2 linked regions of the Danio rerio genome follow. Each later gene encodes a partner of the first gene's protein in a complex. Links are inferred from orthologs where the notes say so. Each region holds a gene or a part of one and is shown in the gene's direction. Other genes may lie near its edges.

Evidence for each region. Proteins that work in one complex are often made in the same cells at the same time.
Region 2: the proteins of gnai2a (region 1) and p2ry12 are in contact, whole or in part, in a cryo-EM structure (PDB 7XXI), measured with the Homo sapiens proteins. The link is inferred for Danio rerio from reciprocal best matches to the Homo sapiens genes GNAI2 and P2RY12. Residues at the interface, in NP_002061.1 of Homo sapiens: Arg24, Glu28, Ala31, Arg32, Leu195, Glu319, Ile320, Tyr321, Phe335, Phe337, Asp338, Ala339, Thr341, Asp342, Ile344, Ile345, Lys346, Asn348, Leu349, Lys350, Asp351, Cys352, Gly353, Leu354, Phe355; in NP_073625.1 of Homo sapiens: Phe59, Asp121, Arg122, Lys125, Thr126, Pro129, Phe130, Thr132, Asn134, Pro135, Ile212, Leu216, Ser219, Tyr220, Arg222, Thr223, Arg224, Val234, Lys237, Ile241, Leu301, Cys302, Lys303.

The regions. Positions count from the first base shown.
Region 1 is NC_133186.1:37,324,664-37,331,346, forward strand, and holds part of gnai2a (guanine nucleotide-binding protein G(i) subunit alpha-2a), read left to right. Parts: intron 1-1,902; coding exon 1,903-2,044; intron 2,045-6,683. UniProt on the Homo sapiens protein: Guanine nucleotide-binding proteins (G proteins) are involved as modulators or transducers in various transmembrane signaling systems.
Region 2 is NC_133190.1:1,139,028-1,144,838, forward strand, and holds the end of p2ry12 (P2Y purinoceptor 12), read left to right. Parts: intron 1-1,526; exon of another isoform or gene 1,527-1,547; intron 1,548-2,137; exon of another isoform or gene 2,138-2,184; 5' UTR 2,185-2,216; coding exon 2,217-3,254; 3' UTR 3,255-3,546; downstream 3,547-5,811. UniProt on the Homo sapiens protein: Receptor for ADP and ATP coupled to G-proteins that inhibit the adenylyl cyclase second messenger system. Not activated by UDP and UTP. Required for normal platelet aggregation and blood coagulation.

The DNA.
Region 1 (6,683 bases):
TCTAATGTCAGCTCTTTCTTTGGTGCCAATCTGACTTTGTTCTCAGTTGTATTATTTATTTGTGTTTATATTTGCTTTTCGTAATATTTAGCAATATTGAATGTGATTGACATGATATGTATTTATTTGTGACATGAAAAATTGCTTCCGTTTGTCGTTTGTGCTTGGGAAGATTTTGATTTATTTTTATAGGTCAGGTAATAATTGCTGTATTTATTTTAACAAACAGTAATATAAGCATAATATAAAACTAATAAATAACTAATAAAACTAATAATAAAAAAGGTTTTTTGTTAAATTTGTTAATTCTGCAGCTGCAGAGATGATTTTTCTGCAGCCATTCATTATTCAAAGCCTGAAAATCTTTTAAATATTGTGATTTAGAGCTCATTAAATATTAAATTTTAAAAATAAACTATATTATTTTATATTATATTATATTATAAACTCATTATGTTATATTATAAACTCATATTATATTACATATATTACATATTTCAATGATCATTTTTTAAAAATATAGCAATAAATATACTATTTTAAATACTTTAACTAATTTAAAACAGCAATTTAATATAATTATTTTAAAATAACAACAAAAAATAATTTGAAGGTCATTTATGAAATATTTCTTATCACAACAATGAAGACACTGAAAATATTGTTATAGAAGCAGATTTATTTGGTTTGGTTATTTATTTTTCTCTGAATTCTTGGAAATCTTGATAGTTCAAAATAAGCAATTATTAGGATTTTTGTTATAGTAGGCAGTTCATACAGATATATATTTTTTATATTTTTCAGATTTATATTTTTCTCTCTGAAATCTTGGAGTTATATGAAGTTCAAGATAAAATAAATTAAGTTTTTTAATAAATACATGCAAATTTTTTTGAAATAAGTCAGTAAATCTAATATTGAATACAATATTTTTATGAGTTTAATACCTAAATAAACAACAATTTATTTCAATTATGTAAAAAACATAAAAAATAATTTGAAGCTCATGAAATATTTCTAATCACAACAATGAAAACATTTAAAATATTTTATAGAAATTGATTTATTTAGTTTTTTCTCTCTAAAATCTTGGAAATATAGAAAGTTCAAAATAAAAGTGAATTTTAGTTGCTGTAAAATTCATACAAATGTTTTTTGAAATACAGCAGTAAATATAATAATAAATATATTTTATTACCTAAATAAAAACAGCAATTTATTTCAATTGAAACAAAAAATAATAATAATTTAGAGCACAATAGTTATTTTTAATCACAACAATGAAGACGCTGAAAATGTTTTTATAAAAACAGATTTATTTATAAAAATTTTTTCTGCAAAATATAGAAAATATAGGGATATAGAAATATAGAAAGTAAAAAAAAAGCAATTATTGCTTTTGTTTTTTTGTTATTGTAATAAAGCCATACAAATATTTTTAGAAGTATAGCCATAAATATAATATTTTTAATAACTAAATAAAAACAGCCATTTATATCAATCATAAAAAATAAAACAATAATTTGGTGCTCATTAAATATTTCCAATTACAACAATTAAAACACTAAATATTTTTATTGAAACTTTTTTTTTTTTTTTTCAGAAAGCTTGGAATTATTCAGTAGAAAGTTCAAAATAATAACAACTATTAGGATTTTTTTGTTACTGTAATGAAGTCATAGAAATAGTTGTAGAAATCTAGCAATACATTTAATAAATATAATATTTTAAATAACTAAATAAAAACCACAAATTGTTTCAATAGTAAAAGAAATTAACGCAATTAAATAAATGCCAAATGGACAATCTCACATTAAAACAATTCAAATAAAATTTTAATGCACGCCGCTAAATATTTCATACAACACTGATCAGTTGAACATTTGTGTGTCTATTCTGCAGGATTATCCATGAGGACGGCTACTCAGAGGAAGAGTGCAAGCAGTATCGAGCTGTGGTCTTCAGTAACACCATCCAGTCCATCATGGCCATCGTTAAAGCCATGACCAGCCTCAAGATCGAATATGAGGACAGCGCAAGAGCGGTGAGTACACACTGCATTCCCTCAGCAAATAAATCACACACATCCACTGTACAGTAACACACACACACACACACACACACACTCTCTCAGATTATCTCAGAGGCCCTCCAGAGTCACATGATCCTGCTCTACAGCCAGTTTTTTGACTGTCAGCATGCAGTCTGATTAGTTTTCTTGCTACTGTTGAAAAATGCGTGATAGTAAAAACTCTGTAAAATTAAACTAGTTCAGGGTCATGTTCTCTATAGACACCAAGCAGATGCATTTTCATAGTAAAGAGCTGAATTTGGAAAACCACAGCCTCTTTAAAGCTGAAATTGTGTAATTTTTGAAGTGATGATTAAAAAGTGATGATGTACATTTAAATATAAATTAAATGTGGTGAAGGGGGGTTGGGGGGTGTTGTCGCGAACTCAAGAGCGGGGTGTGGGGGGTGTTGGTTGAGACGAAATGAAGAGCGGGGGGTGGTTGTCGCGAGGGCACTTCAGATCAGTTTGGAAAGGCACTTTCTATCCAACACTAAAAAGGGCATGTGCACCGCACAGGTTGAGCCCTATATGTGCATGTGTGTGTGTGTGTGTGTGTGTGAATGAGAGACAGAGAGAGCAATGCTGTGCGTCGCTTGGTTCTCTCTCTCTTTCTCTCTGTGTGTGCGTGCGTGAGAGCGTCCGGCGCAGAAGAATACAAACAAGACAAACAGGTGACCGCGATCCTAAGGTTGCATATATGGTATTCAGTTTCTGAATGGTTTAGGCACTAGCCAACAGTTTAGTGATGCTGTCTGAGCCTTACGACATATTTTTAATTGTGCACGGTAATACCGGATACCGGGGTAAAATAGGGAGGAGGTTTGACGGTATCAAAATTTGGATACCGCCCAAGCCTACTGTCGACTCATTCACTCCGGACACGCTTATACTTCTAAAAAAAAAAAAAAAAAAACTACACGCAATGGTTCAGAATGGTTTGCTAAAAAAAAGCACAGCATATACCGTTAGCGTATCTGGACACAACCTCAGAGCGCCTGTAAACACATACTTGTAATGGTTGCCCCACCTCTGAGCTCTTCTGATTGGTCCACTGCTATGGAACTGACAGTAATGAGCAACACTGCATGTGAAAGTTGAAGTTCTTTTAACTTCGTGTGGCATCTAAAAAACCCCAGCTCTTCAAGTCCCGAGACACGGCCACACACGTTCATTAAGTTCATCTCTACATTGAAAAAAATAGAAAAGAAGCGCATTGGAGAGCATCATCTTTTAAATTCGAGAAAAATACAAAGTAAAAGTCCTATTAGTAATCCATTGTCTATTCTTCCTGTAAAGGACTACAGATCCCTCATAACGCAGCAAATGTTTTATTCAGCTTTTTATTCTCTCTATGAACTTATCTTCAAGACTTTCATGAGGACAGATGAAGCTTAAAGCAAGGGAAAGAAAGAGAATAAGGAAGTAAGAGTGTTAGTTTGCTAGCGCAGATCTAAAGAGAACAGCCTGAAGGGCAGCAGTATGTTCAGTGCATCTGATCCACCTGATGCTCTGGAGAGATACACTCCATCTCTGTCAGCACTGATTTACACTCGCCATATATTACGTCACACCACAATTTACAGTCAGTGACAATCTATAGGGTTAACGCTGTCTAAATGGAAACAAGTTGGACATAGGAGTCTTGAGAGAGACGTGTTATTAAAAGTCCTAATATCTTTTTAAAAAGCAGCAGAAGACAAGAATATGGCTCTTTTAAAAGGAAACAGAGCCTTTATTTTTGGTGTGTAGCAGCAGTGTATGGTTTAATTAGGCGGGTGATGGGAGAGATGGATGATTGTGTCTCCGCTTAGGGAATTGAGCTGCAAAGTGCTGTTAGAGAGGCTAACAACATCTCTCCATCACATTTAATTAGTGAGAGAGAGATCTGTTGGAGACATTCCTCAAGTGTGTCTCGCTCTTGCTTGCTTTCTCGTTCGTGGCATGTTTGATGAGAGATGTGCTCAACCGATGACTGGGAAGTCAGTGGGTCGTCTGGATAAGTAGTTAACTAGTGCGTGTTGAGGAAATCCTGGGTTATTTAGCTAGTCTAATAGACTGCATACAGTTAGATTTCTGAGCCATTTAACGTGAGTTCAAGGGCTGAATTTGGAAACGCATCAACCTTGTGAAAGCTGAAATTCATTTGTTCATCATTGATGTACATGTTTTCACACAATTTTCATACAATTTTCTCAAATTAGTTGTCCTGAATCAGCTTTATACTTCTTTAATGAATGATTTGCATGCATTGAAAACAATTTATCAAAAAGTTTAAGCCATAATTAGGGTTACTGTTTTATTGTAGGGCTGGGTTAAAAAATATCAGGTGTTGTTTCAAATTACCATGGAGAGGGGTCAATGTAAATGAAAATTTAAGAAATGTTAAATAACCACACTGTAAAACGGAATTATTGTTAATAGTTATTTATAAAAATCAAAACTGTAAAACAGTTAATAATAGTAATAATGATAATAATAATTATTATTATTATTATTAATATTATTATCATTATTTTAATTATATTTATTATTATTATATCTTTATCATCGATGTTGTTATTTTAATAATAATAATTACTATTATATCATCATCATTAGTATAAATATTATTGTTATTATTAATATCATTAATATTATTATTTTAATAATTATTATTTCATCTTCATTATCATTATTATTATTATTATTATTATTATTATATTATGTATAATATTGTAAATAATAATAATCTAATAATTATTAAAGTAATAAATATATTATTACCAACTACATAATAATATTAGCAATAATAAAAATCATCATAATATTTATATAATAACAATAATTTTATATTATTATTATTATTATTATTACAAACTTTCGATTGAAATTTATTTACTGTTTTACTGTCATGATTTTTAAAACTATTTTATAAAATACTTTTTTACAGTACAGTTGTTTAAAATGTCTTTTTCATTTGTTAATATTATTAATATTAACTAATATTATTGATATTATTTAGTATTTCATTTTATATTGTTAATATTGTTATTATTCATAGTAATAATAAAAATATTAATGATGGTGATGTTAGGCTCAATTATGTTCAAATCAATAATATCAGTTAGTCTCAATTAGGCAAAATTAGGCTCAAATCAATAATATAGTTAATTAATAATAATAATAACAATAATAATGATAGTTGATGTTGTTGTTGTTGTTATCACCATCATTATTATTATTATTTTTATTTTTATTATTATTATTATTATTAATATTGATATGTAGCTAAAATTATTGATTTGAGCCTAATTGTGAACACGTACACGCAAGCACAATAAACCTGGAATACATTTTTACAAATTACAAATGCATTTTTTTCTTTTAATCAAAAGAATCATAATTAGATTTTTCCCCATTTGGTGCAGCCATACTATTTGCAGATATCAGTAATGACAGGCAGTTGAGATGTTATCTATAATTGATTTTTTAAAAGAGATAAAAATCGAAATATGTAAATGGTCTTCAAAAATTTCGACCATCCCCATGTTTTATTGGCTCTTTAATTAGAAACACTGTGCGCGCAACGCTGAGCGTAAGACAGGAAGTGGAGCATCAGCAAGCATATCTTTAAACCATATGAGAGTGCATGTGTTAGCCATATGTCACAGTTTGTGCAGTGTGTGCTTTAGACACGTGGAAATCAACATCCCATGGGACTTATCGCTGTAACTCCTTATTTCCCCCCCTCTTTCTTCACTCCTGAGGCCGTAAATCTTTTAAAAGGCCTATAACTATCTTCTATTCATATCTACAGCCTTTTTTCCACCAACTATTAAAAGGACTTAAAGTATTCCTGTCTCACAATATTCCTGTTTCGAAACAGATATTCCTTGAATTTTCAAGTTTATTGAATTTTGAATTGCAAAACACTGAGCTGTTTAACTTTTACGAAGTGTAATCCTACAGCAGTACACTGTTTTTGCCCCATTGATTTCCATTATAACCACATTTTCTGACTGCAAAGCCATGTTTTGCAAAAACAAATTCATATGAATGGCCAAAAACAAATTCAAGGATCTGTTTAATATATTTAATCCTTTTGTATCTTCAAATTCACCTTTTGCTATGTTCGTGGCTTTTTTTTCGTCCCATTAACTTTCATTACAATCACATTTTTTGATTGCAAAGCCATGTTCAACAGAAACAAATTCATATAAATGGCCAAATTCAAATTTAAGGATCTGTTTAATATATTTAACTCTTGTGTACTGATCAAAATGACTACCCTTTTGTTTTGTTTGTGCCTGTTTTTGTCTCATTGACTGCCATTATGACCACATTTTTTGCTTGCAAAACCATGACACCAAATAATTCTTGATTGTTGGTGGTTTTCTCTGTTGGGAAGAGGTGAAATTCGTAGTTTCTACTGTTGATCATCAGTTGGCAGCATTAACCCTTTAGATAGGTATGTGCACAGTTTCTGGCTTTTATTTGGAGTTCTATGGAGTAAAACAGCAAATTATAGTGTGCGTGCTTAAATAAACTTACTACGTTCAATATGTTCTGAGAGCTGAGGTGCTAATTTTGTATGTTATTTTAGCAGGGAAAACCACCAACAATCTACAACG
Region 2 (5,811 bases), on another chromosome or scaffold:
GTTGTATGTTTTTTTTAATAAAATTTTTATTTATATTTAAAATAATATATATTCTAAATAATATTTTTATAAACACTTGATTTAATCTTCTAGGGCTTACACTGTAAAAAAAAAAAAAAAGTTGGGTTCCACACAATTCCTTCATGCTGTCTAAACACAAATCGATTAGGTTAACTTTATTGTTTTTCCAAATTTAAGTTGATTGAACATAAAACAATGAAGTTATCCCACAAAAACCCTTAGGAATTGTGTTGATTCAGCTTATTTTAAATAAGTAGTTTGAAGAAGCAGCAAAAATATTATAATATAAGTGTCTATTTAAAATACTTTGAATGTTTTATATTTTGTTACAGACATACGGTGTCATCCTGCAGATGTTTTGCAGCATATGAAATGTCCCAAACCCTCGTTTATAACTGTCCAAAAATGGACAAAAAATGTTTACTCTCTGATAGTCAAAAGATATTTAATAATATATATGTTAAATATGCATTAAAAACATTCAGGAAAAAGTGTTTTATGTAAATTCGGACCACAAGTCCCACATATATGGACATCATTTTTTTCTAAAAGTACATCATAAAAGATCATCATAAAAGATGATACTTAGATTTTTATTCTAATTACGTTCCAATAAGCCCAAATAGCAAAGAGAAATAAAAAATGCATGTAAAAACACCTTGGGCTTCAAGAGGTTAAGGCTTTTTACATATCTGGACTAGAAACAAGCCAAAACCCTAAGTAAAAAGCACATTTTTTTGCAGTGTACATTATTATAGACCATTTCAATGCGGTGATGCCATTGACCCATGAACATTTCCTGCTTGTTGTTAAACTATTTTCTAGCTGTAACAAGAGGCAATTCAATCATACCTTGACGTTAAAACAGCTATCATAACATTATTTATCAATATGTGGACATTTTTGGATTCTCGGAAGCTATGGAAATAAAAATGTAAATCAGGAAATAAGTTAGGACCATTGTTACTGTTTACATCGCTCAAAATGTCCCGAATCCTATTTTTAACTGTCCAAAATGGGGAAAAAAGGTTATTTTTACTCTCTAATAGTCAAAAAAAAAGTTTTAAAAAAATGTCTAATGTTAAATATGCATTAAAAACATTCAGGAAAAAGTGTTTTATGTAAATTGGGATCACGAGTCCACATATATGGACATCATTTTTCTCTAAAAGTACATCATATCAAAAGATAATACTTAGATTTTTATTCTAATTAGGTTCCAATAAACCCAAATAGCCAAGAGAAATAAAAAATGCATGTAAAAACACCTTGGGCTTTAAGAGGTTAAGGCTGTTTACATATCTGGACTAGAAACAAGCCAAAACCCTAAGTAAAAAGCACATTTTTTTTGCAGTGCACGTTATTATAGACCATTTCAATCCAGTGATGCCATTGACCCATGAACATTTCCTGCTTGTTGTTAAACTATTTTCTAGCTGTAACAAGAGGCAATTCAATCATACCTTGACGTATAAAAATGTAAATCAAGAAATGCGTTAGGAGCATTGTTATTGTTTAACTCCCTCAAAACTGTCATGGTTCTGTCTTATGTTTATTTCATTCTTACTTTCATTCTTACTTTCTTACACTCTTGTTTGTTTTCTCTTTGTGAGTGCATTGGTTTGAGTTAGCTTGAACAATGTATTTTTTTCTGTGTTGTAAGCGCACAGCGTCAAGTCATCTTGAGCTGTGTACTTATGTCTGTAATTTGTTTTGTGTTCAGCACATGGCTTGTGTTTGGTCTTTTCCACATGTGCTCATTTGTCTATTAATTAGACCCCGCCTGTCTTGTTAACTCATTATCATTTTGTTAATTTGTTTCACCTGAGCTCCTCGTTTGAGACTTTGTTTGCCCCTCTATTTATTCTCCCAGTTTGCTGTTGTCTGGGCTGATTCGTTTCTCATGCTACATGTAGTTAGATGCTTGTCTGTTTTTCTGTCCACTTTGGTTTTATTTTGTTTTACTTAAAATGACTATTTACCCTACCATGGGCTTGTTGTTTTTTTCAGCCCTTTTGGCTGTTATCTGGGCTCTGTGTCCAGTTTTTTGTTCCTAATTAATAAACTTTATTTTGTATTGCTGATTTGCGTCTGGGTTCTGTTCACACACCTGACTAAAACAGTCTCAGGACTCATCATTTCATTATGCATTCTTTCATTCAGGACTTCATTACTTCACCCAGCAGGACTCATCAATGGAGCAAACAACGCAGCTCAGCTTCTCCAACAGCAGCGTCTCCAACAGTTCATCCTGTTCTCGAGACGGCGCTCTGAAAACCATCGTCTTCCCCGTCCTCTACTCCATCCTCCTCATCCTGGGATTATCTCTGAACGCTCTGGCGGCTTGGGTTTTCCTCCGGATCCCCAGCAAATCCCACTTCATCATCTACCTGAAGAACATCGTGGTGGCCGACATCATCATGACCCTCACATTCCCCTTTAAAATATTATCCGATGCCAATGTAGCGTCCGTGGGCATCCGCATTTTTGTGTGCCGCGTGTCCTCCGTGCTCTTCTACCTCACCATGTACATCAGCATCCTGTTCTTCGGTTTGATCAGCATCGATCGCTGCAGAAAAACCATGTGGCCGTTCGTAGGCACCAACCCCAAACGTCTACTGCACAGAAAACTGCTTTCGGGAGTCATCTGGACGTCTCTCCTGGCTCTTTCGCTCCCAAATGTAATCCTAACCAGTCGTCCGAATATTGGAGAGCGCTTCAAATGCAGCGATCTCAAAACTGAGCTCGGACTGCGGTGGCATGAGGTGGTCAATCATATATGCCAGGTCATCTTTTGGGGAAACCTTATAATCGTGATCATATGCTACACGCTTATTTCCAGAGAGCTCTACAAGTCGTACGCCCGCACGAGGTCTCCGCGTGGGACGCAAAGCAAGAAGAAACACATCCAGGTTAATGTGTTCCTGGTGTTGGCCGTGTTTTTCATTTGCTTTGTGCCGTTCCACTTCGCGCGAGTGCCCTACACCATCAGCCAGACGCGCGCCCTCCTGTTCAGCTGCCCGCAGAAGCTGTTTTTCTTCAAGCTGAAGGAGAGCACGCTGTGGCTGTCCTCTCTCAATTCTGTGCTGGATCCGCTCATCTACTTCTTCCTCTGCAAGTCCTTCAGGTCGTCGCTGTTTAATGTGATGCGATTGGCTCCGGGACGCTGCAGGATCCTGAGGGAGCTCGGGACAGATTCGGCCGGCGATCAACAGGGAAACGCACTGACATGATGGACAAAACACGGACACACACATGGGAAAAACACTGGGGCTTGTTCTGTAAACATGCAATTATACAATGGGCAAGTGTTTTTCAACCACAGATACACTTCCGGTCAGAGGTTGATGTGTTCTTAAAGGTCCTGTTGAATTAAAATAGAAAAATGTCGATGTTATGCTGCAAAAAAAGCTTTCCTTACTTTGATTTTTTTTGTCTTTTTTTCCAGTCCAAATATCTAAAAATTCTTATATCAAGAAGCATTTTCTAGACAAGCAAAACATGTTGTCTTGTTTTTAGAAATAATGTGCTAAAATTAAGTCAGTTTTTCCTTTAAACAAGCAAAATAATCTGCTAATGGAGTAAGAAAAAGGATCTCGCTTTTCCTTTTGACTTCCAGGAATATTTTTCTTACCCCATTGATAAACGAAGAACCAGTCAGTTTTCATAACGGATAAACAGCTCTCTGTAATATTTCAGCATGCTTTCACTTTCGTAACATGAAACTCACATTTACTGATAGTAATGACATTCGCCCTACTCATAATTCTTATTCCAACCCAAGCTCATTCTGGAAACGTAGCCCCGTGGACATTTCTGGAGACCGCGATTTACGTGGCCGGAGGTACGTAAAGGGCGCGTTTAGTTTTTTCAAGCGAACGCTGCGGGGCGGTGTGGTGCCGCTCCGCCCCTCCTCTTTGCGCTCGCCGGCCGACGGCTCGCCTCCGAGTGGAGGGCTTTCCCGATGCAACCAGTTTGTCCGCTTAGCTCACAGCGTTGCGTCGGCGGAGCGGAGGCCCTGGAGGAGGAGGAGGAGCCGGCCATGGTGGACGACGACCGGGATCGAGTCCAGGGAACAGCGGTTCCGGAAATCAGGTAAGACGAAAAATGGAATCCGAAAAATAAGGCCGAGAATGCGGCGGGATCCGAAAACTTGGTCGAAATCAAAGACGAGGGCTTTTGCTTTTTTTTTTTTTTCTGGACGGCTTTTGCAAACCGTTGCTCGGGTTTAGGGAAGGAGGAGGAAGAGGAGGGCGGCCGAGTCGGCGGCTTTTCGTGGGAGAACGGTGCGGGCGCAAATGGCGCGCGCTCCCGAGAGGCGCCCGAGACGCGAAAAAGCATGCACAGCGGCCTTTCGCGGATTCGCGAAAACAAAAACCGCTCGAATACATACCTCCCGGGACGTAAATCGCGGTCCGCAGAAACGTCCGCGGGGCTACGTTTCCACAATGAGCCCGGGTTGTCTTATTCACATAGCCATATATGCCGATTACATATCCATAATACACTGTAACATAGGCTGGTTCGTAAGTTCACTGGATCATATAGCTTTCTCATTACAATCAATCCGCTTCAGAGTTCGTTTCATTTGAGCCGAGTCCACCTCCTTCAGGCGATCTCGGACCAATTGTTTTGGTGTGGATCAGAGTGTGATTGCTGGATTCACATATGCCAAACGAACCGCGCTAACTGGAGAAACGGGCCAGGTTCCAAAACAAAAGTCTAGGTGTGAAAGCACCCTAAAACAAGATGGAAACAAACCAACCTAGGCTCATTCTGAAAACGTAGTCCAGCTGATGTTTCTGGAGACCGCAAAATACGTCCGGAGAGGTACGTATTTCTGCAGTTTTTGTTTTCGCGAATACGCAAGACGCCGCTGTGTGCGCTTTGTCGTATCTCGAATGTCTTGCGAGTGCCGTTCGCGCCTGCGCTGTTATTGGGTGAACCCACCAGAGGCCACTGTCTGACTGACCGAATGATTGACTGCGCAACCGGCCAATCGGCTGACCCACCTTCCTCCTTCCCTAAACCCAACCAGTTTTACTGATTGTCCCGCCCGCCCGCTCACTTTCCTAAACTCGAGCAACAACTTAGAAAAGCGTCTAGAAAAAGAAAAGCCCTCGTCTGATTTCTTTACCACGTTTTCGGATTTCACCACGTTCTCACCCTGTTATGAACTCGTTCACTTTATTTTTTGGATTCTGTTTTTGTCTTACCTGATTTCTGGAAACCGCTCTTCCCCGGACTCGAACCCCGTCGCCGTGGTCAACTCCTCCTCTCTGCATCTGAAGTCCGCCGGACGTATTTCGCGGTCTCCAGAAATGTCCACGGGACTACGTTTTCAGAATGAGCCTGGGTTAAAACAAACCCAAAATGGAAGTGCCTTCTGGAGCAGCAGACAGGCACAGAAACTCCAATAAAGATACTGTGGTAAAATATATTTCCATCTTTTTAAGACATGAAACTGAACAAAGTAATTTAATGCAGCGCTTCATGTTTAGTCTGAGACCCACTTTATATTGTATATCAATCAAGCAGTGACGATCATTTGTTTTTTTCAGATCTTAAATGCAGCGATATACTCGACAGGCAATCCCAAGTGTACAAATCTCACAGTTTGCCATGGCAATGTTGTTGTCATCAACTTTATAATACCTCCAGGCTGCAGACATACTCACACTTACCACTTGAAGCTGATTCTGTGTTCTACTTTGCCGGCATTTAACCAATCGCATCTCAGCGACAAAGTGATGTCAAGCCGCACTCGATGCTGTTTCTGTGTGTAGTGAA